7 linked regions of the Xenopus tropicalis genome follow. The protein of the gene in region 4 interacts with the protein of the main gene of each other region in a pairwise test. Links are inferred from orthologs where the notes say so. Each region holds a gene or a part of one and is shown on either strand. Other genes may lie near its edges. The genes, in order: scly, c7h10orf88, map2k5, lnx2, mylip, lrrc8e and ptcd3.

Region 1 (4,186 bases), on a different chromosome or scaffold from region 4:
AGTATTTCAATTGATCAAGGCTAGGACTAGGTATGCCCATCAGTACAAGAGAGAAAGCATATAATGTAGCATTAGTAATTTAGCTTTGGAACAGTAAAGCCCACTGCAACTCCACTGTAGTATTAGTGTCTCTGATTTCTGCTGTGTGAGGTGAACATATTCCCTTTGGCATTACTCTTGGCATTTTCACTGGCTCCTGCTGCTATAATATGTCTTCGGCTGCACATTTTTTTTTATTAACTATGTATATGGCAAAGATTTTTCTATTATTGTGAACTGTTAGATTTGTGAATGCTCTACAACAACCACATTAAGTGCTGAAATAACCCAGTAACCACACCTAGGTGGATGCATATAGCTTAACTTCCTTGTATAGTCAAGTGTTTCCTTTTGATAAACAGGTGTATATCTCCTGTTTGGTATCTTTCTTTATACATTTACAGTTATTGAAATCAATATGAAGGGGAGTAGAAATATATGCAGCCATGTATCCGGAAATGCCAGTGTCCATAAATCAATATAAAGAGGAGTAGAAATATATGCAGCCATGTATCCGGAAATGCCAGTGTCCATAAATTAATATAAAGGGGAGTAGAAATATATGCAGCCATGTATCCGGAAATGCCAGTGTCCAGTTGAAATGTGAAGCAGAACTGTGGCTCACCTGTCCCCCCGGTCTGAATGACACGCTGCTCCAATGCTAGCCTGAAGGTACTGACAGTGAGAGAGCCACTCGTGCCCTAAACAGAAAGACATATGAGCAGTGGTTAGTAGCATGGAAGAGCAAGAAAATCAGCAAAGGATTTTAAGTTTCCAGCTTAATTTGATTTAATTGGCCTGTTACTGACCTCAAAAGCTGTCTGCACTCTGCCACGCCCAATATCTGTAACTTTACCCATTGGAATTTAACCGACTGCTCTTAGCACTTTTCTGCAAACTTCCTCAACCCCCTCTAGCACTGAACCCTTGTTTCCCACAATCAAGCTCTGAAACCTCTTTAAGTAAACTTACTCATCCTAGCTCTCTGTCCTCTCTTTCTGCAATGAGAAATGTATTCACACACCAATGGTTCTTCCCTAACTAATCACACACATCTCTCTTTTCACACCAGCTGCTGTACTTTATCCAAACGCTGTATTTTTTTTGCTTTCCTGTCCTCTGAAAGTGAAAGTTCAAAGTTGTAGGGACATTTTCACCTCTTATTGGTCTAGGAACTGTACTGAATTCCTTTACTCTACTGCAGACTATGATTATTATATTTAAACATGATATGACAGAATAATTATCAGGAAAACAATCATCTCAGAAATCTGATGTAGATGAGAGAGGTACCAAGCATAGCAGGTTTCAGAAGTGACACGTTGCAGGTGTTGGGAAGGCGTTCGGCTCCAGGGAACCTAGAGTTTAATCGGATTCGGTCTTCAAACACAGCCTGTAAGCGTAGACACAACTAGTTTATAATATTAAGGTCAACGTTTAAACTCTGCTCGGTATATAACATTTACACTAAGCTTTACATTGTTGGATAGGATCTGCTTCCAATCAGCCTCAAGAGCGTTAAGGTCGCCATACACGGGCCGATTAAAGCTGGCAACAGATGTCAGAAGCATATCGGCCCCTATGGGAACCTCAGACGGGCCTGCCCAACCAATATCTGGTCAAAAGTAACCATGTCGATAGGGCAAGTTTAAAAATTCCTTTGGGCCTAGGAGAACATTGGCTCGTTGTTCCTTGCCCCAAAGGCTTATATCGCAGTCAGCTCTTGGCCTGATATCAGATCATTTATCATGAGCCCAAACCATCCATATACATGAGACCTTTAAATGAAGCTAGGTTTTATTAACACATTTAAACTGCTCCACAGTGCTATAGTGGTGACCCCTACACCACTCTGTGTGATACTTGGTGTTGCAGATGGTGTTGGCAGGCTTTTGTGCAGCTGCTTGCCTATAAAAAAAGCCATACTCCAACAAATTTTGGTTAAATAGTGCATATAAGGTGTAATGAGTGTGCAGTACAGTTCCCCCTTGTGGCAGTGTTACATAGCAGTAGTATTTAGTATATTGCATTTAAATTACAGCCATATTTTATGTTTTCCAGGGGACAGATAAAAGTAAAATGCAGAAAAACATAAAATGCACCAAAATGCAAAATCAGAGTTTGCCTGTAAAATTAGAGTAAATTGCAAAAAGATGACTAAATCTTCCCCAAAAACATTCACATGAAATAAACATGGAAACTGGGCCAAAATTATGATGTAAAATGTAGGAAAAATCTAGGGAATGCTCTGTTTGAAATGCATTAAACATGAAGCGACTGCAAAAAACCATAAAATCTAACAAAACAAAAAATGAAGGGATGTAACATTGTGGTTTAGCTGTATGTGTCTGAATCGTTTCTGCTACTGTTGCTGCGATCATATCCTTGCAGTTCTATGTAATGCATTTTACATTACTCAGGGTTCACTGGAAGTGGTATCATACATTTATCTAGGTCACTGCTGTGTCAAGAAGAAAAAGCCACATAGGTCACATGAAGGAATCAGGTAAGGTAACTGTTCACTGTATAATAAAGAATACCCCACCCCGAGCAAGTATATATCCAGGATTTAGGCCCCCTCGTTATACAGAGAGGCAGCTAATGCTCGACTAATGAATGTAAAGCAGCCTTCTATGCAGGCGACTACAATTCTGATTCTGAGTTATTGTTTCTGGGAAAACAGGTTAGGATGATGCTACACATACAGTATTCCAAACACATGCAACTATGCTGTCACATCATAGGGTGAAGTTTAAACTGAATATCCATTTGCAAGCATAGCATGTGCACAACTAGTGTTCCAACAATCTGAGAATTTCTTCATTAGTATGAATCTGATTTTTCTCACCTCCAGTCTTTCCTCCAGATAATCCCGTATGCGTCTCATGTGAGCCTCATAAACAGCACAATGTAAGAACACAAGCTCTGCAGCCTACAGGGACCAAAGTGTGTTCGATCAGTCAAAGGTATTATGCAACAACTATACACAAACACATATATTAATTTTGTGTGGCACCCCCCAACATACACTCAGTTTTGTGCCTTTATGGTTGACGAAGACCCAACTAAAAGCAACGTATCCGAAAATATCAATGTCTTGCAGCCTTACCTTTCCAAGCCCAGCTATCATTGGTGTGTTCTCTGTTCTGAAGAAAAAAACAAACAATGAGTGAGATACAGGTCAACATAAGCACACTGTCAAAAAGCTGAAAGCCAAGCCTGGAGGTTCTATGGAGATTGTTAGAGCAAACTATGTTGGGTAACAATCTATTTATTTTAGCGCAGTGCAGAAACAGGGATCTGATTATTCCATTTACCCTGGGCGGAAGTTGCGCTCCTGTCCTCCTCCGTAAAGCATGGGAAGCAAAGAAGAATGCTGCCCAAGGCCTCTAACATACAGGGCTCCAATACGTGGCCCGTAAAACTGCAATAACAAACGGAAGATGAAACATGAAATATTCCCTCTCACACAAAAATGCCAACCTTTCTGTACCCAACAGCTCCTGAAGCACAGCAGCTATTTGCACCGTAGTTGCTATGATGAGTAAACAGGAAACTTCATCTGTAGTTTTAACCCTATATTGTTAAGAGAATAGCACATTGTCTGCAATGACATATTAGTATGACTATATAAGTGAGACCATTGGGTGTATTCTTGTGCACTATAATTAACTTGTTTACCCTGAGATGCAATAAATAACATAAATGGAGACTAAGAGAGACCAAGGAAAGCATCATTATTTTGGGTATAAGATCTCACCAAAGACCCGGAACAGCAAAAGGACTATTCAAAGTAAAATGTATAATTATTGTCCAATTGTCTAAATACCTTGTGTCCAACAATAGTGAGATAATTCACTCCCAGTTCTTGCACATCCACTTCCACCTTTCCCAAGGCTTGGGCAGCATCGGTGTGCAGTAGGATCTTGGGTAGCCCTTGTGCAGATCGCTCTTTTGACATGGAAGCCAGGCACTGGGACAGCTCACCCACAGGCTGCAGAAAGCAAGTAAGTAAATTGTATTAATATAAACAACAAATGGAGATAACACTTTAGGGCTTCAATCTCCACATATTATAAAAGACAAAATATTTGCCCAAGAGTAACAAAACATACCAACCAAAAAGATGTTTCCTGTTTTGTTTTTT
Region 2 (3,125 bases), on a different chromosome or scaffold from region 4:
TTGGCATTTACCGACTGCTATAAGTCTCATACTACCCAGTCCACTGTGTTAAAGTCCATGTGCCCTCAAATCTGATTTTAGGCCACAAATTTAGCCCTTTGGCAGGTAGCAGCCAATCTATGCACAGGATAGTTCCCGCCTAATTCCTTTTCAGTGTGCTTCCCTGACACCAGTTCCTCTAGGCTTGTGTGGCCACCCTGAGAAGAGCAGGTTGGGTGTGGGTATATAAATTAGTTTGGGGTGAAATAGGGTGGGTTTGGTTTGGTGCGGGTCAGTGAAATGTTGACCTACACAACAATGCAAGAAATAACAATATTTCTTTAAAACAAAAGGCAAAAAGTATCTTCAGCACATGCCCTATTCACTGAAAAGGGTATACTGTCCCACATTTTAAATTCTATACCCTGTGTCTAAGATATATTACATTACCCTCATTTAATTACCTCCACGTCATCTCATAGAAACTCCCTATTGTCTGTAAGTTTAATTGAGGTTTTGGGAATCTAATGAACTGTCAAATTGCCAGGTATTGTATCTGAGAAAAAGTCTACAACATTCTCTCCACCTACAATCCAAAACCAGAACTGACGAGTGCTTATTTATTTCAAACACATGGGGGGAATTCACAAAATTGTTGGTAAGTACACAGTTCTTAAAGTGTTAGTCGCCAAATTGTAAAAATGTAAGCACAACATATTCACAGAAGGTATCATCTAGTTTTATGGATGGCATAATGCCACCAAATTTGCCACACGTGTTGTATACATGGTAAACAATGGTCTTTATTGCACTGTGAAACTGTTGCGCTCCAAAAACTTTATACAGACTTAAGCCAAATTAACATGTTTGTTATGGGGCAGACATTTTGGTGTAAAAAAATGTCTGTAAAAATGTTGTCTGTACAACTGATTCTCAAAAAGGTCTCAATTGGAAAACTGATCTGTAAATAAATCGGCGCACAAACATTTTATACAACATTTTTCTTTACAGACATTTTTGTGAATAGTTTTAAGGGCTCTGGCACACGGGGAGATTAGTCGCCCGCGGCAAAACTGCCTGTTCACGGGCGACTAATCTCCCCGAGTTGCCTACCCCTGCCATCCCACCGGCGAACATGTAAGTCGCCGGCGGGATGGCAGACGCGGCGGGGCGATTTCAGGAAATCGCCGAAAAAGACTCCCATGTTCGCCGGTGGGATGGCAGGGGTAGGCAACTCGGGGAGATTAGTCGTCCGCGAACAGGGAGTTCTGCCGTGGGCGACTAATCTCCCCGTGTGCCAGAGCCCTAAATTGTGCACAGCAGACTGGTTTAATTCAGTTAAGGGCTCTGGCACATGAGGAGATTTGTCGCCTGCGTTTTTTCCCCTCGACAAGTCGCCACGACAATACACACGAAGAGATTTCATGCGAGTTGAGCTCCAGGCGATCTGCTACCCATGGTACACTCAACAGTTACCCCTCCCACATGTTTACTCAAGTCGCTCAGAAAAGGGTCTGTGTGCGATTTGAAACAGCAGGCGACTTGAAGTAGCCTCGTATGTTTTGACGCTGGCGATTTCCATTGGTTTAGCATTGGCGTCTTGTCGCCAAATCGCTCTTTTAAAAATCGCCGGCGACAAATCTCCTCGTGTGCCAGAGCCCTTACACAGTGCTGCAGTCTCAGTAGAACAGTAGGCTTTGTGAAGTGTTAAACAATCTTTTCACTGCCCTTAGACATCACCTGTGAGCCGACTTCTAACTTACATGTATCTGCTTGGCCCCTTCTCTACCCCAGCAAATGCCTGTTACTCACCTAGCTGGCACACAGGGCTCCTCTTTGTCTTCACGTTGCTTAGATGTATGAAGGTTTTTGTCTAAACACAAGCTGTGCAAAAGTGGCATCAAAGACTCATGGCTTGTCCCACCTAAGCCGCTCAATGGATTCTGCAGGAGTGAGGACACTGCTGATGTAACATCGCAGGCTGGGAGCCCCAACTTTTTTGGGGCTCTGTGTTCTTGAAGCACTGGAAGTTCTGGGATTTGAGTATGCGTGATTTCCGTACTAGTACTGGGCAACTGACTATGTACCAAGTTGGAAAGCTTGGGCTCGGCACCCTTTGTATTTCTCCCCGCACCTTGTTCATAGCCGCTCAACATCTGCAGAAAGTGTGCGCCAAATGGACTCTGGTGCTTAAAGAAAAAAAACATCAATTATTAAGGTTTATTAAGGTGATAAACTTAACAGTAAGGGATTTATTTGCTACTCCTCTCACAATACCTTGGCATTAACTGTTGGGGATTTGGCAAAATCACTCTGGCAAAAGGATCCAGCTCTGGGGTATAGAGAGCAATCCAATACATATACATGTGTGTTTATATATCTAGATATAGATATGTATTACATTTCTTTGCACAAAACATAAAAGACTGCACAATAAACAAAAATGAGATTCTGAGCAACTTTCCAAAGTTAATTAAACATTATCTAGGGTTTTGAAGTCATTTATAAATGTAATTGCTATTACAAGCATAATTTGTTGTAACTCTTAAACAACATAGCTAGTTAATTCTCCACTAGGAAAGAACCTTAATTGTGAGATCTAAAAATAAATGGCCCAACACATAGGGGCACATTTACAAAAGCACGAACGCTCGGAGCGTACATTCAAACGCTCCGAGTGTATTTTTGGCGAATTTTTTGGGCGTCCGCACGACTTTTTCGTACACAGCACAACTTTTTTGAACGCCGCACGACTTTTTCGTACACTTGCGCGAAAAAATTGGAAAGGTTTTACTGCTGTTTACAATGGTTCGGTACAAAAATTTTGTGACTTTCGTATCGCCAATACGATATTATCGTGACTAATACGATTTTTTCGTAAGCATTTTCGGGATATTTGCTATCTTCAGAAATTTTCGTTTCCAATCCGAATTTTTCCCATTCGAATTCGTGGATTAGTAAATCTGCCCCATACTGTGTTGAACCTGTGGGCCAGTAATGATAGAAGTACCATAAATATGTATGGTTCTGTTCACTAAGACTAGCTGCCAAATGATCAGAGCAAGTGAAGAAGTGCTGTCAGATAATCCTTGATCTATCAAGATCTTAAAAAAACAAACACTGTCTAAATGGCCCCCTGACTGGCT
Region 3 (4,881 bases), on a different chromosome or scaffold from region 4:
GACTATTATCCAACAGCACCTATGCTTATCACCCTGCTTTGTAAACAAACTTTTTAAATTCTTCTCTTAAAGGAACAGTAACACCAAAAAATGTATATATTTCAAAGAAATTAAACTATAATGTACTGCTGCCCTGCACTGGTAAAAGTTTTGTGTTTGCTTCAGAAACATTACTAGAGTTTATATAAACCCTGGTGTGTAGCCATTCAAAAGAAGAAAAGGCACAGGTTATATAGCAGCTAACAGATAAACCCTGTAGAATACAATGGTGTCTTATCTGTTATCTGCTATGTAACCTGTGCGTTTTCTCCTTTTTTCCAGCCTGAATGGCTGCCCCTGTGGCTACACAGCAGCTTTGAGTCTCAGTTCGCCCAAGAGACCTGTTTAGTTTATTAGTTACAATGGATCTCAGTGCAGGTGTGGCTTGTTAGGCTAATGCCACACATAGCATATGGAGCGTATTTTCGGCAAGCCAAAAAATGCTTGCTGAGAATACGCTCCATACGCTCGAAAATGCCCCTACCTGTACCTGCACCCAAATGAATGGAATACGCTCGGGTGCAGGCACATGTAGCTGATATCCACCGAAAATATGAAGTCTCGCGTTTTTTGGTGGATATCGGCTACATGTGCCTGCACCCAAGTGTATTCCATTCATTTGGGTGCAGGCACAAGATAGGCTGAATTTACAGTAGCGAGGCGTATTCTCGGCAAGCGTTTTTTGGCTTGCCGATAATACCCCCTTGTGGCATTAGCCTTAATTTTCTGGGCTCTCTGCCAAAAGCTACTTTTTAATTAAGTTTGAGAAACATTTGTATCTAAATGCAGGTGAAGCTTGTTTAACTTTCTGGGCTCTTTGCCAAATGCTACTTTTTATTTAAATTTGTATCTTTTTTTTAGCGTTCAGTGCAGGGGATCAAATGAAAAATAGGGACGTTTCAGTAAGAATCCAGGACTGTGGGTTAAATTGTCAACGCGAAACCATACAGTTGGGAGCTATGCTTAAAGAGACACATTGTTTGTGTAGTGCACACAAGGGGCATGGCCAAATATTCTGGAACTGCATGCTTGTGTTTATGGGGGGGGGGGGGCCCATATAAATAACTTGTATGGGGCCCCAAAGTTTTGATGGTGGCTCTGATTGGAAGTTTTATTTTTTTGGGACACTAGTGATTTCCACATCCAGTTCAGGAATATTATTACAGGTTTAATGTCTTCATTCAGCACTGCATACATAAGTAGCTTTATAAATAAAGATATAAATACATTATTATTGGAGGCCAATAACACCAGGAACTAAGAATGCCCTAAATGAGTTCACTCATGATATTTACTTATTCTGCACTAATTCTTTAAATAAATATATATGTATAGAATATGTTGGTGTGGCAAACATTTTATTATTATTAGCCTTTATGCAGCAGCTTCAGATTCTCACTTGGCGAGGTGGCAAAAAATAAAAATAAAAAAAGATTCAGAAAAAATATACAAACGCTAAGATATTGCGCCCTGGTTAGCGGGGATCAGTGTAAGGACCTCAATTCAGCTGTCAGCGCTAAAGTACACGGTACACCCCTTGATAAAAAGCAAATTCTAACATATTTAACAATTACAATTGGCCACTAAACACTTCAACGTATTATCATCTCAACAGCTATGAAGTTATTTTTGATATACAGTTCACTACTTTTTTTCCCCTAAACAAACATGGCGATCGCTAGTCATAAAACGTCACTTTGCCCTATTCTAATATGGCGTCTTGTCCATTGCCTTCCTCTTCCCGTACCTTCCGGCGCTATGGTGTTTGGTTCCTAGGCTAGGTACTCCTGCGTCCCAAATGATGTAACCCGGCTACGGCCCGGGATGCTGTTATTTGGCTTCGGCCTGCCTCTGGACATGGATAGCCAGGCTCTGGTTATTCGGATACGAATCCCTGATGGGGGCGCCGTTGACTGGACAGTACAGCCGGCCACTCAGTTGCTGTTCCGGGACATCTTGGTAAGAGAGGGCCACAAGCAACACAAAACCTCTGTCACAATGACGTCACGCACAGCCCTCAAAATATTTCTGGGAATGGGGCGCCGTTCACCATTTTAATACAATTTTAATACTATAGGTACCCCACTTCTTTAATAACACCTGGAAAAATATTTTTCTTTTATTTTTATAATGGAATTAGGGATGTTTAAAACTGGCACTAACTATTATTATTAACATAAAGTGCCAACATATTCCGCAGCGCTGTACAATAAGTGGGTTTCATACATTGGACATACAGAGTAACATATAAAGCAATCAATAACCGATACAAGAGGTGCAGAGGGCCCTGCCCAAAAGAGCTTACAATCTACAAGGAGAAAGGGTTGAGACACAAGGGGGCACATTTACAAAAGCACGAACGCTCGAGCGTTCATGCGAACACTCCGAGCGTATTTTCGCCGATTTTTTCGGGGGTCCGCACGACTTTTTCGCAAGGCGCACAACTTTTTCGGACGCCGCACGACTTTTTCGGACGTTTGCACGAAAAAATCGGAAAGGTTTTACCGCTGTTTACAATTGTTTGGTACGAAAATTTAGTGACTTTCGGATCACCAATACGATATTATCGTTTCTAATACGATTTTTTCCCATTCGTGATTCGAATTTGTGGATTAGTAAATGTGCCCCAAGGTGTGTCTGTCACACATGTATATATGCACTTGTATTACTTGGCTTATTGAATAACTAAAAAAACTTATTTTATTTCTTTAAAGACAACTCAGAAAGAAAAACTCCAAACACTGCATGCAGTTATAGTGGCAGCCCAGATAGCTAACCTGCTACTGAAGCGCCCAGAGATGTAAACTTCTAGGTGGGAATGTTTGTGCTAATGGAGTTGCCCACACAGGCACACACATTACCAGTGGGTCTCAATGACCTGCTTTAGTAAGGTGTAATGTTCTGCTACAACAGGCAGTGGTAATTAAATAAGGTGCAAGTAATTCTAAGCCGGTTCTTTTGGGTCAAAAATCTGACTTGACCAATCAACTGAAATGAAGCGAGGCACAGGAACCCACACTAGAGAACACTCCCCTTGTAGAAAGGATGGTCCAGGTACACCAACCCCAGACCCTCCACTCAGGGAGCAGATAATCAACAGCAACAAGGGCCACAAAATTCAAAGTAAACAATATTGAAAATTATATTTAAAAGTTCATTGTCTCCAGTGGCCCTGCTTGTTTTGTTCCCAAAGGCACTTGGCCATGGGGTAACTGGATGCCCCCTGATTTGTTGCTGTACAAAAAGCTGACTCTGAGACTTGATACGGGTCCCTTGAGAGAAAATTAAGAAACACTGCTCTAGGGCATTTCATTTCTAGCCAAGCCACTGGCAGGATATAATTATCTGAGTAATACCAAGGTCATGTACCAATCAATATCTCAGGCACAGCTAGGCAGAACATTCTCTGTTGTTGTAATATTTAAACACTTTTCAAATGATTTTATAGTTTGGGATTTAGTTTTTTTTTTTTTTTTTTTTTAAATAAGGTACATTTTAATGCAAAAGATTGAGCACCCCATACCAGATTGCCTGTTTAGTTAATTTTAAAAATAGTAAATCACTACTGCAGGTACCAGTGCTTTAAAAAAAAAAACAGCATATTACCAAATGTTGATGCACTGTTAAATATTATTCAATGAACTTTAAAACATAGGAACAAAGAAAATAATAATTGTGGCATGTGGTCAAATTTGGACGCCCAAGTAAGTGCATTATTTTTATTCCCCCACCCTATTTTCCTCATACTATATTAGTCTGTGCTGCAGCCTACACCACTTGTTTTGGATTCTGCCACTCTGTGAATGAGCATTAGGTGTAGAAGGAATTTTAAAGTTGAGTGAGCCTCACCAGGGCCTATGAGAAGCAATGCCTTAAGGGAGAAAGGGTAGTAAAGCCCTCTGGCGTATTCATGGGCAGACACATTTACCTGTGTGTTTTTGATCATATTTCCTAATGACATAGACTGAAGCAGTGGGTTGGGCTACGCAAATCTGTTTTAAAGCATATACAAAAATAAACATTATTCTTTATGTGTTGAAATACAGGTAGAGCTAAAACTGGGTAGAAAATATATTTTTTCATGTGCTTCAGCTTTTTTGGCCCTACCCATTCAAACTTATATTGGACCGCCTCTTTTCATCTTTTTGCCACCTTTATCCCCAAATGTTTGGGATTTTCAGCTTATTATTCTTGTGTAGTTTCACTAATTCTGTATTTTCTATTCTTTTTAGGATGTGATTGGTCAGGTTCTCCCAGATGCAACAACCACTGCCTTTGAGTGTGAGTTACCCAAGCCCTCTAATGCTTGGATACATTTTGGTTCATTGGACCCTTGGACAAAGAATTTAACTGATCCTTTAAAGACCATGTCCACCCAAATAAAAATATTGCATAATGTAATTCTAAGCAACTTCAAACATACATGGCGTCTGGGGGCAGAGTGGATGGGAAAATGGGTTACAGGTAGGTTGAAGTGAGGGTTTGACAGTCTCAGCAATGTATTGCTGGGAGAAAGGGAAGCAGGACAGCAGAATGCTAGAACAGTTATTAGGTTAGTGTTACAATAAGGTAAGTGGTGGGACATGGCAGTATGAGGGGCAGTTGGTGGGCAAGAGTAGGGGGCAGCAGGATATCTGGGCGTACTGAAAGGGATCGTTTTGATTTTGCAGGCAGTTTGGAAGTAAATATTGTTCACCTTCTATGGGAGTACACCTTGCTCTTTACTGGACATACTGCTGTGTGGTGAAGTGTTTAAGGAGAGAATAGTAGAGCTTTAGATTGTGAAGCATGCTTGGTAGTGGATAAAGCTTGCTGATGAACACCAGGAATTTATAGTCATGA
Region 4 (4,186 bases):
GAGCACAGGGCTGTATTGGGAGTGAGGGTGGTGTGGTTTGGTATAAAGGGGCAGTCTCACAGCTCCCATTCTGCACAGCTAAAATGCATACAGCCCTGTAGTTGCTATGTTTGTCCTTCTTTTATATATAAGTTGGGTGCGCAAAAAGTCAGCAGTTTCACAGCATTCACAGCATAGTACAGCAAGCAAAATGGGCATCAAGGCACAACAGAAGCCTACTTAGCTGAACAGCGGCAGAGTTTGAGGGGTTTTGTGGGTTAGGGTGAAATCAAAAAAGCCTGTGCACCCAGCTTCTGATTCAATAAAGTCATAAAGTTCTGAGTCAACAAAGTAGTCTTTCTGGTGTGTTTGGTGCTCAGTTTTGTATGACAGTTGAATATGCTGTGAATTTGGAGACTAGAGTTTTGCCTTAGGGGGCAATAAGGCTGCTAATCCTTACAGTAGTGGCTGACTAAAGTATTATACTGGCTATGATACAACTAGTAATAGGGCAACAGATAACAGATAAAGTGTTTGTGTGTGTGTAACTCAGTTTGTCTTGCTTTCTATGTCCTGTATAGGGCAGTGGGGAGCGTGTGAATTTAACTGTATCTCGACCTGGGAAGCACCAACCTGGGAATATAACCAGAGACCTGGGGATGAACCAGCCCCACCATCACACACAGCAAGTGTATCACCACCGGCCCAGCGCACATAAGGTAATGGCAACACCTGTACAATCATCCTTAGAGATATCTGTCCCTGAGGATTGCGAATTTCAAACTCCCATCAATCCTATAGCATCTGGCAGCTTTGTATCTACAGGGCCTTCACTTTCTTCTACAGCTGCTCTGGGCTGCATGATAAACATCTTTGGTAGAAATATTGTAGCCCCAGTATTTTATATCTGAAGTGTAAACAGCATTTCTGGCAAGTTCACATGGATTTAAGGGGGGCGTCCCAAGAAAATATCTCTGAGGCCTTGCCTGCATTTCAGTTGGTGCTTAGCAGCACTTGACATGCATACAAGGTGCATCCAGCAGTGCTCAGGCTTGTATTTTATATATGGGACCGAAGCCTGGCGTATGGTAGAGCCATGTAAGTACTGTATCTTAAATACTGTATACAGAATAAGCACCCCTGAGCTCCAGTGTTTATGGCAGCACTTGCCATTTTGGGAAATATTGTGGGATGGAAAGCATATCTAATTTTATAAACACCTCCCAGTGTACATTTATATTACTCACAATAATGATCCTGCACTAGGCTGTATAGGCTGTTGTATATGGCAGATGATATGGGCCAGTACTGATGTTACAATGGGAGGCTGAGGTCTCCTCTTTAGAATGTATTTTTTCTTGTTTTTAAGTTTTCACTAGAGTATCAGCTCCCAAGGCTATTGCTTAGCAACATTTCTACAAATAGAATTTAATGAAAGCAGCATAGGGCATAAGAGATGTCCCTGTATAAATAAAACCGCATTCTAATTGCAAACGCCTTTGCTTTCCCAAGGATCTGGCACAATGTGTTAAATGCCAAGAAAAGCATATTACGGTGAAGAAAGAGCCCCAGGAATCACTGGGCATGACGGTGGCAGGGGGAAGAGGCAGCAAAAGCGGAGAGCTGCCAATCTTTGTGACGAGCGTCCAACCCCACGGGTGTCTTGCAAGGGACAGCAGAATCAAGCGAGGTGCGCGGGCAGCATTACCAGCCATTACACACTGATACAGGGACACTACAACACCAGGCCAGAGCTTGGCGGCACAGTATATTGTTGCTAAAGATTTTACAACCCCAAGTGTCCCAGGATACCCAACAAAAAAATATATGGGGGCTCCCTTTCTGACACACGACTCAAGGTTCCCCCTGCTCCATCATCCCTGCTCATATTCATTTAGCTGCATGGGCCTGGGGAAGGGGAGGATCACTAGTGCTTACAGCCCCTGCTACAATGGACTCTGCTCCCCTGTTGTTCTACCCATTAAGCCTACAGCCGGGGTCCCTCATATAGTTGTGCTGTGCATCTATACATATTCATTTCATATAGAGGTATGGGATCCATTATCCAGAATGCTAAGAATTACTGGAAGACCATCTCCCACAGACTCCATCGAATAATTTCAATTTTAAAAAGTGATTTCCTTTTTTCTAAAATAGTACCTTAATTATAAGATAATAGGTCCTATATGTTCATATAATAGAACCATATATTACACGTATAGGTGGCATTATTGCTTATATATTTAATATTGACTCCTGCTTTCTTGTTAAGGGGATGTGCTGCTGAGTATCAATGGCATTGATCTGACCAACCTCAGTCACAGCGAAGCAGTGGCCATGCTGAAAGCCAGCGCTACCTCCTCAGTGGTCTCTCTGAAAGCCATCGAGGTGGAGGTGATTGAGGAGCAGACACCAGGCAAAGAGGAAATGAGCACCGTTAGTGAGAATGAATATGATGCCAGTTGGTCTCCATCATGGGTAATGTGGCTGGGCCTCCCCAGGTTTGTGCCTATAAATGTTTATTTATCATTCTTTATTTTTATTCTGCAGCTCTTTACCCATAGCCCTCCTGTAGTGTTACAGTCCCCATTTAAGAAACCAGAAGGGTTTGTCCTTGTTGGCCAAGGAGATAGCTCAGTCCAAGGGGAAGATGCTACAGAAAAAAAGCCCCACAAAGATAGATGTTGACGTCCCTTGACGTTAGCTTTATCTGCCATTGCAACTGAAAGTATGAAAATGAGTAATAGTTTCTTTTTAAAATATTTATCCTGAAATGGATTTTATTTTTCTGCTGTTCACTGTTCCTGTATGGACTCCGGCACTCTGGTCCTTTTTCTATTTTTAAAGGCCACATTAGCAAGCTCTATCAGTTGGAGTGCACTGTTAATATGTATTTCTACTGAGTGGCGTATTTCTCCCAGCACCTCAATTATCTCTCTTCATACTCCCTCGCTCTTGCGTGAAGCGTTCCCTCAGCCCTCGGCCTCATTTGGTAGGGGGAGCTGCCTCAGCCTTGCAATAGCTGTAATGAAATATGTTCCTTGTGGGTAAATAATGGGCAAAATACTTTTTGCACTTTAACCCTTTCAGTGGGTACGTTTAGTCTTGCCGCGCCACACGTTATGTATTAAAAGGAAACCTGGAACTGTAGAATATGCAGTGTTGGCACAATAGTACTTTTATGTCAGCACTATAGATTCTATGAGGGTGATGTAATAAAAGGCACTAAGTTTGTCCAGGAGCAGTAACCCATAGCAACCAATCAGCAGGTAGTGTTACTGATCACCTGTTTAAAAGCAAACATCTTATTGGTTGTTATGTTTTACTGTTCCTGGGCAAACTTAGTGGCTTTTATTACATATGGGGGGGTCTGGTGTCATTTATGGTGTTTGCCATGCGAGTGACGTCTGCACCCAATTCTTTAGGCTCCTATTGATACAGGGCATGGTCAGGAGGTGGCAGTAGCTCCAGGGCTCCCCTGTGCCTCGGGGCAGTAGCGCCTGATTCAGAACAGAAGGCAGGAAAGACTGAGCAGCGCCAGGCCCAACTCTACGGAAGTGCAAGGAGCTCATTTTTATGCAAGAACCTTTAATGAAAGTGGCTTTATGCACAACTCACTGCAGGGGAAAGCCCAAGTAGCCCACTGCAAACATAAATACGCCCTATAATGTACAGGTATAGAATATATTATGAAGAATGCTTGGGACCAGAGGTTTTCCAGATAAGGGATCTCTCTGTAATTTGGATCTCCATACCTTAAGTCTGATAAAATCATTTAACATGAAATAAACCCAAAGGAAATCATTTTTGAAAATCAGAATGATTTGATTAAAGTGGACTCTATGGGAGACGGCCTTCCTCTGATTCCGAGTATTCCAGATAAAGGATCCATTACCTGTACTGTGATTCTTGTCACTTAGCTCCACTAAATAACTGAACTGCCTTTTGTGTCAGGGGGCATTAGAACCATCAGTTCATGAGTGAATGAATCCATAAAAACATGTCATGTATAGCACATGGGGGCACAGAGCTGCTGTTATGCTCCTTCTTACTGCACTTACTGGAATTCATATAATAAATACAGGGTGATTTTCTCTTTTAAAGTGCTTTTAGTGTCTTCATTTACTGTAATGTTCTGTAGGACTGAGTTATTCTCACCATAGGACTGAGTTATTCTTACCATATTTATTTACCCATATGTATGTAT
Region 5 (4,929 bases), on a different chromosome or scaffold from region 4:
CTTTACTTTGGAACAAATACTAGATAAAGCAGTAATGGTGGGTTTGTGCAATACAGTAAGTGGAAAACAGTAACAGAAGGGGAAAACATCCTAAGGGCTCTGGCACACGGGGAGATTAGTCGCCCGCGACAAATCTCCCTGTTCGCGGGCGACTAATCTCCCAGAGTTGCCATCCCACCGGCGAAAATGTAAGTCGCCAGTGGGATGGCACACGCGGTGGCGTGATTTCGGCAAATCACCGAAAATGCCTCGCGAGACAACTTTATCGATTTGCCGAAATCGCCTTCGCAGCGTGTACCATCCCACCGGCGACTTACATGTTCGCCGGTGGGATGGTAGTTTGGGGAGATTAGTCACCCGTGACAAGGGAGATTTGTCGCGGGCAACTAATCTCCCCGTGTGCCAGAGCCCTAAACTATACGGGTAAGAACCCACAGAGCGAGTTATTCACCCACTGGCAACAAAGGAAGTCGCCAGTGGAAAGCCTGTCACATTGCTTCATTTTCCTAAGTCACGCAAAGTTGCCTGCAGGAGGAAACTTCACGCCACTTCAGATTACCGAAGTGATGTGAAGGGCTTTCCGCGACTTCTATTGTTGCCAGTGAAAAGCAAGTAACTTGCACCGTGGGTTCTTACCCCAAAGGCAGTTGCACATGTGGAGATTAGTCGTCCAGGATAAATCTTTGCTATTGCGGGCAACTAATCTCCTTTAAAATGCCATCCCACCGGCAAGAATGTAAATCGCCAGTGGGATGACATATGCATCGCTTTGGTTCCCCAAAGTCATCTGAAGTTTCCTTGGGAGGCAACTTCGGGAAACAGAAGCGAAGCATATTTTCATCCCAATGGCGATTTACATTCTTGACGGTGGGATGGCATTACAGGGAGATTAGTCGCTCATGGTAACAAAGATTTATTGCGGTCAACTAATCTCCCCGTGTGCCACTGCCCTAAGAGTGAAGACACATGGAGCTACAGTAGCAGCTACTTGTCACAGCTACAAAAATAGACAATGCTGATCATTTACTGATAATTGTCTCTGTGTGTGTTTTAGCAGAGGCAATTTTTAGTACTGTCTATGGCAGGGGATTTAGGGCATTTAGTAGCTGCTACTAAGTAGTTCTGTGTGTCTTCACCCTTAGGGCCATGACAGACGTGGAGATAAGTCGCCGCGCGTCAAATCTCCCCGAAAATGCCATCCCACCGGCTAGAATGTAAATCGCCGGTGGGATGGCATATGCGGCGCCAAAATCGCTGAAGTATCCTCAAAAGGCGCAGCAACTAATCTCCCCATCTGTCACGGCCCTTATATGTACAGCACAAATTATTTTTAGTTTAATGTTGTATTCCCTTACTGAATAGAAAGTTCTTTCTATCACAACCTAAATTCTCCTTGTTGTGCTAAAACATGGGTCACGATTCTGCACAAACCATCCTAGAATAAAAGCTTTGTACCTAGATGATATACTACAGTCTGCAAAGGTTGATATTTACCTAAAACAAAAGATCCTTGGGAATAGTTACAGGGCTGCATGTTGAAAAGAGGTTTAAAATTGTTTACCAAGAATTGCAAAATAGTTTATATTTACATAGTAGAGGGTTTTGAAGCCAAATGTATATATGTATTTGCACGGACACCCATATACAAAAATGAGGAATGGTTTTCTCTTTTCTAAAGGCAATTTTATGAACTACACCTGATGTTGTGAATATAAATGTGTTAAAAAAAAAAAAAAAATGATCTTAAGTAACCTTATCCGAGAAAGCTCATTTAGATTCATTCAGTGACAAGAGCCAGGAATACATTTAAAGAGAAAATACACCGCCTTTTTTTTATATAAGCTCATTCAATGTGCATAAACACTATCTGAACTTACACAAATAAATATACTTTTTTTTTTTTGTTTAATACACATAACTGATTACGGACTATGATACTTGGACTAAACATTTCCCAGCAAATCTTTGCAATGTAATGCAACCCCCACTTCATCTTGTTTCACTGTAAAGGTATGGATTCTGGGACTTGGAAGTCCCTCTGCTTTCCACAGTGGGTGCTGCACAGAATCTCTGGAAAGCAGAGAGTCTTCAAGCTTTTTAGAGGAATGGGGAACTCATTTCTGGGAACCAGGATAGGCAATCATGTTTTCCTTTGGAATCAGTTAAATCTCTGTAAAAAAAATATACATTTATATTTATTTGTGAAACTTCAGGAAATGTTATGTACATTTTCTACATAAGCCCAACAACACAATACACACACCTAAGCAACATGCTGCACACTGAGGTGCAGGGTGGTATTTACAAGTAGAGGGACATTCTTGCATCAGTAATGGCGCAGACCTTGCACTACACCACATCTTGTTTCCTTATTTCTTCCGTTACCCACATATGCACAAAGCTCACCTCTTCCTCATAGATTTATACCACAATAAATCAACACATCTCGGTGTCACTTATAACAATAATCGCAAATGTTTCCTAACAGGTAACTGCTAACAAAGTTAATGAGCCATTGCAGTCAGCTGTCAGCACCACATTTACCTTTCTACAGAGCTTCACAAACCAAGCATGCAAACCCCACCAGGTTCAGCTGTGAATACATAAAAAACCATTTAGATACTTTATATTGCTGGCCAGTCTTTTATAATAAACAGAATAGAAAGCTGGAGCCCAACAGCATCAGACTGAAAGTTACTGCTATACATTGGGAGTCCCATTTGGCACAGGACACAGGGCCAGGTGAATGTATGTAAGTAGCCAGGTGGTATGCGTACTCTTCTCTCCTACTTAGCTGGTGTGTTTGGGTGAATACAAATGAGACAAGCTAGCCCAGACGTTTGGCACAGGGCTGATAGCCCAAGGCTAGAGAAGCGTAGGCCTGCTAACTAGGAGCACCAGGGTGCTGTTATTCTGCACAGAGGTAAGTGCTGGGGCGCAAAGCTCCATAGGACAAACAAGTATTAGAAGTGGAATGAGAGGCAGCCTCAGAGCACTGACGAATGGGAAACTTGCCTCACTGTGGATGATCCTACATACAAGCACCCATGGCTCCCACAAGGGTCACGTCTCGAACCCAATTACCTGATTGAGACAGTCTTCTCCATTCGCCTTCGCATCCACTTCTACCTCCATAACCACCGCATCCGGCCTCGTCACATAGCACAGCATGGCAGTACGGGGGGGATGCCAGGATCCTTCTGCTTCACTGAAGCCTAACAGACAGCCTCCCGTGCTGTCTCTCCCGCTCCTAAATTACCGACGACCCTGTCTCCTGTATGCACCCAACTGTATGTGCATGTATAAAAAGCGCGTAGGAGGGCGCTTGCTTCCAGCACCATCAGCACAAGGATATCACTAGTCTGATAATAACCCTCCCACTGCCTGTAACTTACTTATGCCCTCCTCCTCACCAAGGCCCGCCCCCGCACGCTTATTGGCTCTCTGGCCGCTGGAATACTGTAACCGGAGCCTGGAGCTTGCGTTTAGAAAGGACCTTCGGCGGTGAGGGGCTGGCATGGGGTTACAGCATGTACTGTCTCGCTTCTGTACAAGCACAGACAGTCTGCTGGCTACTGAGTGCTCTTTACATGTGCAGCTTGCCAGCTTTTCCGTTTCTTGTTATTCTTCTTCTTAATTTGTTCTTCATTTTCGAAAAGTAATAAATTATCATCATAATCTAAAATATGGTTGTTATCAGTCTGATACCACGATCGATGGTCCTTGTTTTTGATCCCATGTTTGAAAATGGTCTGACATCGCAAAGATTAAAAATAACTTAAAAATCACACAGCATAGAGACCCATTGTGTGGAACCCTGCCGATATTTACCTTTTGTTTATATGTACTGGGACTGCTGGGAGTTTCACTAACTAGGTCTGACATTCACAACAATTTAGTACTTTTTAGAGGGGAAAATAAAGAGAAGTAATATCAAGTAACAATTTAACCAGATAGCATTTTATATTGCAAGCCACAGGTTAAAAGAGGCAGAAGATTGACGCAGATACATAACCTGTTTTTAAATGCCAGTCAGAGCCCAGATCCTTATGTTCTACTGTACTGTATAACATCCCAATGGTACTTGTCAGTGACATCCTGAGAGGGAGGGGCAACAGCACTGACATCACTAAAAGTGGAGGGGTTTCTTGAGGCATCTGACCTGCCACCCACCTGAACCAGAGCAAGCAAACCCTATCAGAGACTTGAACCTGGGCATCACTAGCAGAAGAGGAGCATAATGAACGCCAACTAAAAAATTGCTTAGAATAGGCCATTTTATAACATACTAAAAGTTAAAGGAGAAGGAAAGGCTAAGTCACTTGGGGGTGCCAAAATGTTAAGCACCCCCAAGTGACTTTAATTGCTTACGTTGTACCCCGGGCTGGTGCCCCTGTTAGGAGAAAACAGCACCAGCCCGGGGTACCTGGAGCGATGCGCTTCCTCCTTCCTTCTTCGTTTTGCTGCAACTAACACAATAGGCGCATGCGCAGTAGAGTGAAAAGCCGACTTCTCTGTTAAAGTTCCACTATTCACTCTACTGCGCATGCGCGTGCGAGCGATACAGGATGGAGGAAGCGCTGCAGATACCCCGGGCTGGTGCTTCAACTTTTGCATATTTTCTGTGACTTTTTCGTACAAAATCGCATTGTCGGGCCGAGTACGAAAGTTTTGGATTTATTCAAGCTACAGTATTGTGATTTTCCTTGGGCGAAGTTGGAGCTGCAGAGTGCCATTGAGTCCTATGGGAGGCTTCGAAAATCATGCACTGAAGGTTCAAAGTCAGAAAGGTTTTCCTGCATTTTACGATCATTCAGATACGAAAAAATTTAACTTTTTGGCCATTATACAATCATATACAATTTTTCCGTATTTTCAAATGTATTTTATACGGTTTTTTTGTATCGTGCTTTTTTTTTTTTTTTTAAG
Region 6 (4,748 bases), on a different chromosome or scaffold from region 4:
TCAGATGGCAGTCAGTGAGCAGGTGTTTCCCACTGGATTATACTGTAGGTGCCAGTCATGCCTGGAGAGCTAAACACATACAGATTTCATATTGTGCAGGGATAACCAGATATTACCCTGGTTGCATCCTATGGAGCTCCACCCACTGCACATTTATATGACTGCTAATAAGCCATGAGGGGAATGTGGCATCTGTTTTCCTCCACTAGTATAATATTTTTGGGTCAAAATCAGCCCATGTGTGCACTGGCAGGTTGGCACTGTGTGTTGGGGAGCAGCCTGAGGATGGGGTGCAGCACTGGCAAACAAAGTGGCGGCTCCTCACTGACTTGCTGAGCAGGTGACAGTTAATGGCAGACAGGGGGCTTACAGGTACCACCTCTGTGTCAGGCTCAAAAACACTGCACTCCCATTGGGTTGCATGGGAATTGTACACTATCCTTGTCACACAATCGCAGCCTGGAATGCACCACTCCGTGTGGGTCCCATATCTTTGGGTGGCCCAAAAATGTCACCTTATTTGACCTTAATGTGGGGTGGATTTGGGTGCTTCTGCACTGGTTTGCAGCTTTTTAAAAGCAAGTGTGTCATTACCATAAAGGTAAGGGGGCTTAATTACTCCCCTGTGATACAATTCTGCCCTCCCTTGGGATGATCTTGTGCCCTCCCTTGGGATACACTTGTGCCCTCCCTGTGATACACTTGTGCCCTCCCTTGGGATACACTTGTGCCCTCCCTTGGGATACACTTGTGCCCTCCCTGTGATACACTTGTGCCCTCCCTGTGATACACTTGTGCCCTCCCTGTGATACACTTGTGCCCTCCCTGTGATACACTTGTGCCCTCCCTGTGATACACTTGTGCCCTCCCCTGTGATACACTTGTGCCCTCCCCTGTGATACACTTGTGCCCTCCCTGTGATACACTTGTGCCCTCCCTGTGATACACTTGTGCCCTCCCCTGTGATACACTTGTGCCCTCCCTGTGATACACTTGTGCCCTCCCCTGTGATACACTTGTGCCCTCCCCTGGGATACACTTGTGCCCTCCCCTGGGATACACTTGTGCCCTCTCTGTGATACACTTGTGCCCTCCCCTGTGATACACTTGTGCCCTCCCTGTGATACACTTGTGCCCTCCCCTGGGATACACTTGTGCCCTCTCTGTGATACACTTGTGCCCTCCCCTGTGATACACTTGTGCCCTCCCTGTGATACACTTGTGCCCTCCCCTGGGATACACTTGTGCCCTCCCTGTGATACACTTGTGCCCTCCCCTGGGATACACTTGTGCCCTCTCTGTGATACACTTGTGCCCTCCCCTGGGATACACTTGTGCCCTCCCTGTGATACACTTGTGCCCTCCCTTGGGATACATCAATATCTATGCCAATGTTTTCCTTGTACAAATGGGCTACAGCGACAGAGTTGCTCAGACTTCCCAGACAGTCGCACCTGACTTTCCCCACTCACATTGATAACTTTGCACTCTGCACCATGTCTATATACAGACTATACTAGAATATATCAGCTTATTGCCCCCCCAAGCCTCCACATCTGCCCCCTCCCTCCCTGCCCCAGTCCCACAGCTGCATCTCCCTCCTACTCTAATGACTCTCTATAGGTGGCTGTTTGGCTGGCCCCGCCCCCTCCCCTTACCGCCCCGCTCACCCCTCCCACCCCCCATCCCCAGCCCGGACCCGGCAGGCAGTACCGGTACTACTGTCCCAGCTGGGAGCCCTGTGCCCGGAGCCCACAGGAGCCGTTCCGCCCGGAGGGATGTCAGACTGGGTAACCCAGCAGCCGCCGCCGCCGCCTCCCTGCAGCTGATCCCCGGCCGGTAAGTGCGCCCCGTGTGTGGAATGAGTGGGGGAGTGAGAGCCAATCTCTCCCAGTAATAGGGATACTGCCCCCCCAATCCGCAGCCGCTCCGGGCACTCGGGAAGCGCAGGGAAAGTTGGCGAGTTGTCTGTGAGTGCGATTCCTGCTCCGCATTGGCACCCAGCGCTATATTGGTACATCCCTCGGGCATGGGGGGTTGGAGTTATGGGGCCCCGGAATACTCGGCCGAGCCCCTGCCCTGCGTCTCCTACAGAATCGCTTTGCTCCCAGGCTTGTAGCGACAAGGCGCTGCCTGATTATTTGGGTTCTTATAAAAAGAAGCGTTAACTCAGGAGCGGTGTCCTACCTACCCACCTACCTACCTACTTATCTACCTACCCACCTACCTACCTACTTATCTATCTACCCACCTACCTACCTACTTATCTACCTACCCACCTACCTACCTACTTATCTATCTACCCACCTACCTACCTACTTATCTATCTACCCACCTACCTACCTACTTATCTATCTACCCACCTACCTACCTACTTATCTACCTACCCACCTACCTACCTACTTATCTACCTACCCACCTACCTACCTACTTATCTACCTACCCACCTACCTACCTACTTATCTACCTACCCACCTACCTACCTACTTATCTACCTACCCACCTACCTACCTACTTATCTACCTACCCACCTACCTACCTACTTATCTACCTACCCACCTACCTACCTACTTATCTATCTACCCACCTACCTACCTACTTATCTACCTACCCACCTACCTACCTACTTATCTACCTACCCACCTACCTACCTACTTATCTACCTACCCACCTACCTACCTACTTATCTACCTACCCACCTACCTACCTACCTACTTATCTATCTACCCACCCACCCACCCACTTACCTACCTACCTACCTACCTACATATCTACCTACCCACCTACCTACCTACTTATCTATCTACCTACCCACCCACCTACCTACATATCTACCTACCCACCCACCCACTTACCTACCTACATATCTACCTACCCACTTACCTACCTACATATCTACCTACCCACCTACTTATCTATCTACCTACCCACCCACCTACCTACATATCTACCTACCTACCCACCCACCCACCCACCTACCTACATATCTACCTACCCACCCACCTACCTACATATCTACCTACCTACCTACCTGGGATCTGTCTGCATTGAGTATATTGTTGGACCATGACTCTCAACATATTCAGCTCCCAGCTGAGAGATGCAGTTCAGCCTTTAGCAGTTGGCAGGTTTCCCATCGCTCAGTTCTAGCTGGTGCTTTATGGGTGTAACAGATACATCTCTATGGGATAAGTGCTCTCCTACCTACTCTCCTCTAATAGGGATCTGGAACCTTCTTACTGTAACTCCTATTAACATCTTGGTGCCTTATTGCCCCCTGTATCGGGTTATTATAGCGACACTGCCCCGGTGCCTTATTGCCCCCTGTATCAGGTTATTATAGTGACACTGCTCAGTGCCTTATTGCCCCCCTGTATCAGGTTATTATAACGACACTGCCCTGGTGCCTTATTGCCCCCTGTATCGGGTTATTATAGCGACACTGCCCGGTGCCTTATTGCCCCCCTGTATCAGGTTATTATAACAACACTGCCCCGGGGCCTTATTGCCCCCTGTATTGGGTTATTATAGCCACACTGCCCTGGTGCCTTATTGCCCCCTGTATCGGGTTATTATAGCAACACTGCCCCAGGGCCTTATTGCCCCCTGTATCGGGTTATTATAGCGACACTGCCCCGGTGCCTTATTGCCCCCTGTATCAGGTTATTATAGCGACACTGCCCCGGTGCTTTATTGCCCCCTGTATCAGGTTATTATAGCGACATTGCCCCCTGTATCAGGTTATTATAGCGACACTGCCCCGGTGCCTTATTGCCCCCCTGTATCAGGTTATTATAGCGACACTGCCTGGGGGCCTTATTGCCCCCTGTATCGGGTTATTATAGCGACACTGCCTGGGGGCCTTATTGCCCCCTGTATCGGGTTATTATAGCGACACTGCCCCGGTGCCTTATTGCCCCCTGTATCAGGTTATTATAGCGACACTGCCTGGGGGCCCTATAGGTTTCAGGGGCCTACCTGCTGCTATAGCACCTTATTCTAGTAACCCTGACTTTTTGCCCATAGTGAGTTATTGAACCCTGATTCTGGGTGCTACTGTGAGCTACCTGCCCCCCTAAACATCTAATAGTAGTAATAACACCAGTAGCCCCATGACCCAGTTGCCTTGTTGCCCCTGTAGCCCGCTCCCTACAGTAAGTGGTTATAAAGTGCCCTATTGCTCCTGTCACCTGATTGCAAGCTAAATCTAATTTATTGGCTTTAATTCCATAACCCGCCCTCAGTGTAATCGGTGCCAGTAATGCCCATCGCCCCGGCCCATACATCCCACTGCCTGGCTGATCTGCCCCACTGCCCGGGGTATATGGTAATTAATATGAAATGAACGTTACCCCTCACCCTGCATACATTTCATTATCAGCCATCCCAGCCACACCCCCGATTCCTTATTGGCTGCACAGACTTCTATCCCTTATATTGCTGACTGGGATTTTTAAAGGCCATGTAAATCCAAAAATATAATTAAAAAAAAGTGTAATTCTAAGCAACTTGCCCTATATACAGTCATTGCACCTTTTTACTGGTTTTGACGTTATTTGTAAATGTCATTTCTACCGAAAGCTGTATATGGTCATCCCTTTCATACACTGCTGGTTCTGACTCTTGAAACAATTATATTTTTGGGGCTTTACCCCCCTTAATAGGTTCATATTGACTTCATGGGTGCTGGATCCCAGCTCTTGTGTCGCTTTGGGCACTCAGGTACTGAGCTCCCTGAGACACCGGGG
Region 7 (3,302 bases), on a different chromosome or scaffold from region 4:
AGATCACATCATAATCATGTACGGCTCAGGCTCCCGAACTGTAAGAAAGCCACGCCCTTGAGGAGCTCCAAACGACCGATCAGGGTAACATTTGGGAATGGATTCTGACTTTCTCTTCTGGATGCTCACTGTGTGCTCATCATGGCAAATAAACCACAGTGACCAAGAGTGTTTGTACTTACCTTTCCAGATCTGAGGAATCAAGTCCAAGCGATTGTCCATGTCAAGTGCCTGCAGAAGGTCCAGCATGCCTCTGGAGTTTGGGTAATACAGCTAGAAAGGAACATGTTATCATTACTAACAAAAGAGGATTTGAGGCAATTTTATTCAAAATGGTGAGCGGTACTAGTCATAACATGGACCTACCGAGGGGATAAGCTCTCGGTACCACTTCAGGATGATATCGATGCTCTCCATCATGCACAGGAGGTTAAAGAACCTGCCACTGTAAAACAGAATGAGTGTTAGAAGCATCATTGTTGCACTAAGCAGGGAGCGCACCGGGTGAGCAGCAGTACAGTCTGCACCAAGCTCACAAAGCACAATGGGAGATGCTATTAAAGAAGCCAGGAAAGCCCGCTGAATGCCAGAAAAAAATCCCTGTGGGCCTGGTCCTGCTGGCTTCCCTCCCACCAACTTGTCCTGCCTGCAGCGGAAGTGGAAGGCCTGTGCTGGATTGATCAGTGGCCGGGGGGCTGTTAGCCACCAATGGTGGTGGCCCCGAGTACACATAGATATAAACTGTAGCCTTTTAGCAAGTAGCCGCCATACAATGCTAAAAAATCCACTAATGCAATTAGACCACTGGAGCTTCTCAGGAAAAGAACCTGCACCTGGTAGACACTAATCAGTCCTATTTTTACCTAATGGGCTATTAAGCGGAACAGACAAGGGCCAAAATAACTGGCTGACTCTGCACATCTATCTATCTAACTATGGATATTGGTACTTTATAGCTACGGGCATCTTACAGATTATGCACAACCTGGGGACATACAGACAATGCAACTCACTAGTATGTGCTCTGCAGGTAGAAGTCTCCCATTAGCCCTCTGTTATCAGCAGTCTGTTGCAGTGTGTGCAGCCGGTAGGCCAGCTCAATGTCCTTCAGGTCCAAACACTGAATTTAAAAAAAACAAACAAAAGGGTCACTTAATTTTCACTGCTCTGCTCTTTTCTATGCATCTACCAGCCACAACACAGTAATTATACCCTACTCCACAGCGTGCAAGGAAATTATTATGTGTATGCCCAGCAATAAGCCTTCCTGCCCCCTCTCATGCCCCTCGTGCCACCTTACTAAAGTGGATATTGCTCAGTAACAGTATTTCTCACCCTATGGTTATATCAGCACCCACAATCATTCATACAAGGCGTCAATGCTACTCCAGAAAAGCAACCAGCCTGGGCAACCTGTCCGACTCTGTAAGGAACTATGATAACCACATAATGTGACTAATTGTGCCTTATCTCTACTTACCACTCTCATCGCATTTGTGAAAAAATACACTGGAAAGAAAAAAAGAGAAACATAGCATTGGTGACCAGGAATGTACAGTAAGTGCAGGGGTTAAATGCACCAATCAATGGATAGGAAAGATACAGTGGGTATTCCCAAGGATTGCAGGGAGCCATTTCAATTGGGCCCCCTACTGCTGGGGACAAGGTCGGCAGAACACTGGGAAAAAACCTGGGGGGCTCTACGGGCAGTGCCAGCCCAGCTGGCTCCCCCCGCACCCTGGCAGTCCAGAACTATGTACTCCTGTGGGGGGGAGAGCTTGTGAATGAGGTGTGGGGGCCACCAGGCAGCAGCCAACGCTGGCTGGGGATCATAGTTTATTAAAACACATAGTAAGAAAGTTGCCTACATGAGCTACAGACATTGTATTCAGGGCTCTGGAGTCGGAACATATCAGACTCCACAGCTCTAAATCGTATTGGTGGCATTCTGACACAGTCAACTATAAGGCTGAAGACACACAGAGCTACATGTCATGGCTACAAATATAGGCACTGCTGATAATTTACTGATAATTGTCTGTGTTTTAGCAGAGGCAATTCTCAGTACTGTCTATGGCCAGGGCCGGATTTCCAAACTGGCCGCCCCCGGTCGCAACCCCACCCCCCTGGAGTGCGCATGCGCGGAAGGCCACACTTGCATACGGAGCAGTGGGGAGACGTTCCTATTGCTCCGTATGGGAACAAAAAGATTTGGGTGCAGCGGGGCGCCCCCAGATTTGTGCTGCCCTAGGCCCAGGCCTTTGTGGCCTCTCCACAAATCCGGGCCTGTCTATGGGCAGGGACTGATGGGAAAAATGTATAATCTGTACAGTGCTGTCCTACGTATATTAATAATAACGGGGCCAATCAGAAGCCACACTGGGCTTATAGGAATGCAGTTAGTTAGTGTAGTACCAAGAGAGGCACAGGGGTTCCATACAATGGGGAAATATCAGGTCACATTACAGTAGACACAAAAGGGTCAGTATTTACCATCATCCGGGTCCCGCAGGGTAAAGCTTCTGCCTTCGATCTCATCCAGCACCTCAGAAAGGATTTCAGTCTGGCCCCTTGGAGATAAAGCTGAAAAACAACAAAGGCCGGTAGATTGTAGGTGTGTGGCAGATCTGTGCCCATTATTTCCCTTCTCTCCTATACAAACCAGTGCATGTAGATGGTCTCACAGCTGAGGGATACTACACACAGCACCTTGCTCAGGGGCAATAAAAAAAACGAAGACCAACTGTCTCGGGATAGCACTCTCTACATCATACTATAAGGTAACTCATACATGTAATAGCTTTCATGTAGTCTGGCCTGGGCAGGAGCTACTGCCCCTTTCATGGCCCTTGGATAGTTATTAGAATATTTATTATGATTTGTATTTATTACAAGTACATACAGTCACAAGATTGCTTATAATTAAATACAACTTTGGCAATCTATACATGTAATAAACTCAGAAGAGGTGGAGCTATTGCAGTTCTCAAGTCCCCAATAGAACTCGTATTATTCCCTATTTATAGTACAAAGTAGGCGGAGTCAGTTAGTGGCTATTGCTATAGCAGCACATACACAGATGGAACACTGCTTTATATGGATTCCTGCCTCACTTCCCTATTGGCTCATAACTATTATGTGACAAGGAGAGGGGACTGATACCCTGGGTGCAATAGGACCCGTCAGCTTGTGTTGGCCCCACAGATATTCAATATGAATTCAAAACATGGCTGATAATAGCTTTATATACAGGTATATTGTATTGGCCCCAGGGGGACTAGTTCTTATGGCAGCTGAGTAAG

What was found.
Region 1: the proteins of lnx2 (region 4) and scly interact in binary tests that used the Homo sapiens proteins (3 or more experiments, as listed by UniProt). The link is inferred for Xenopus tropicalis from reciprocal best matches to the Homo sapiens genes LNX2 and SCLY.
Region 2: the proteins of lnx2 (region 4) and c7h10orf88 interact in binary tests that used the Homo sapiens proteins (3 or more experiments, as listed by UniProt). The link is inferred for Xenopus tropicalis from reciprocal best matches to the Homo sapiens genes LNX2 and C10orf88.
Region 3: the proteins of lnx2 (region 4) and map2k5 interact in binary tests that used the Homo sapiens proteins (3 or more experiments, as listed by UniProt). The link is inferred for Xenopus tropicalis from reciprocal best matches to the Homo sapiens genes LNX2 and MAP2K5.
Region 5: the proteins of lnx2 (region 4) and mylip interact in binary tests that used the Homo sapiens proteins (3 or more experiments, as listed by UniProt). The link is inferred for Xenopus tropicalis from reciprocal best matches to the Homo sapiens genes LNX2 and MYLIP.
Region 6: the proteins of lnx2 (region 4) and lrrc8e interact in a two-hybrid assay, tested with the Homo sapiens proteins (3 studies listed by BioGRID and IntAct). The link is inferred for Xenopus tropicalis from reciprocal best matches to the Homo sapiens genes LNX2 and LRRC8E.
Region 7: the proteins of lnx2 (region 4) and ptcd3 interact in binary tests that used the Homo sapiens proteins (3 or more experiments, as listed by UniProt). The link is inferred for Xenopus tropicalis from reciprocal best matches to the Homo sapiens genes LNX2 and PTCD3.

What each region holds. Positions count from the first base shown.
Region 1 is NC_030681.2:126,384,196-126,388,381, forward strand, and holds part of scly (selenocysteine lyase), read right to left. Parts: intron 4,034-4,186; coding exon 3,869-4,033; intron 3,464-3,868; coding exon 3,357-3,463; intron 3,186-3,356; coding exon 3,149-3,185; intron 2,972-3,148; coding exon 2,888-2,971; intron 1,433-2,887; coding exon 1,333-1,432; intron 741-1,332; coding exon 665-740; intron 1-664. UniProt on the Homo sapiens protein: Catalyzes the decomposition of L-selenocysteine to L-alanine and elemental selenium.
Region 2 is NC_030683.2:20,239,765-20,242,889, reverse strand, and holds part of c7h10orf88 (ATPase PAAT), read right to left. Parts: intron 2,169-3,125; coding exon 1,792-2,168; intron 1-1,791. UniProt on the Homo sapiens protein: ATPase that regulates mitochondrial ABC transporters ABCB7, ABCB8/MITOSUR and ABCB10. Regulates mitochondrial ferric concentration and heme biosynthesis and plays a role in the maintenance of mitochondrial homeostasis and cell survival.
Region 3 is NC_030679.2:117,515,732-117,520,612, forward strand, and holds the start of map2k5 (dual specificity mitogen-activated protein kinase kinase 5), read left to right. Parts: upstream 1-1,803; 5' UTR 1,804-1,863; coding exon 1,864-1,998; intron 1,999-4,271; coding exon 4,272-4,320; intron 4,321-4,881. UniProt on the Homo sapiens protein: Acts as a scaffold for the formation of a ternary MAP3K2/MAP3K3-MAP3K5-MAPK7 signaling complex.
Region 4 is NC_030678.2:155,380,626-155,384,811, forward strand, and holds part of lnx2 (ligand of Numb protein X 2), read left to right. Parts: intron 1-560; coding exon 561-698; intron 699-1,491; coding exon 1,492-1,669; intron 1,670-2,251; coding exon 2,252-2,480; intron 2,481-4,186.
Region 5 is NC_030682.2:92,602,986-92,607,914, forward strand, and holds the start of mylip (E3 ubiquitin-protein ligase MYLIP), read right to left. Parts: upstream 3,325-4,929; 5' UTR 3,172-3,324; coding exon 3,085-3,171; intron 1-3,084. UniProt on the Homo sapiens protein: E3 ubiquitin-protein ligase that mediates ubiquitination and subsequent proteasomal degradation of myosin regulatory light chain (MRLC), LDLR, VLDLR and LRP8. Activity depends on E2 enzymes of the UBE2D family.
Region 6 is NC_030679.2:134,127,428-134,132,175, reverse strand, and holds the start of lrrc8e (volume-regulated anion channel subunit LRRC8E), read left to right. Parts: upstream 1-1,694; 5' UTR 1,695-1,839; intron 1,840-4,748. UniProt on the Homo sapiens protein: Non-essential component of the volume-regulated anion channel (VRAC, also named VSOAC channel), an anion channel required to maintain a constant cell volume in response to extracellular or intracellular osmotic changes.
Region 7 is NC_030677.2:17,803,309-17,806,610, reverse strand, and holds part of ptcd3 (pentatricopeptide repeat-containing protein 3, mitochondrial precursor), read right to left. Parts: intron 2,584-3,302; coding exon 2,494-2,583; intron 1,510-2,493; coding exon 1,481-1,509; intron 1,121-1,480; coding exon 1,014-1,120; intron 446-1,013; coding exon 367-445; intron 274-366; coding exon 183-273; intron 1-182. UniProt on the Homo sapiens protein: Mitochondrial RNA-binding protein that has a role in mitochondrial translation.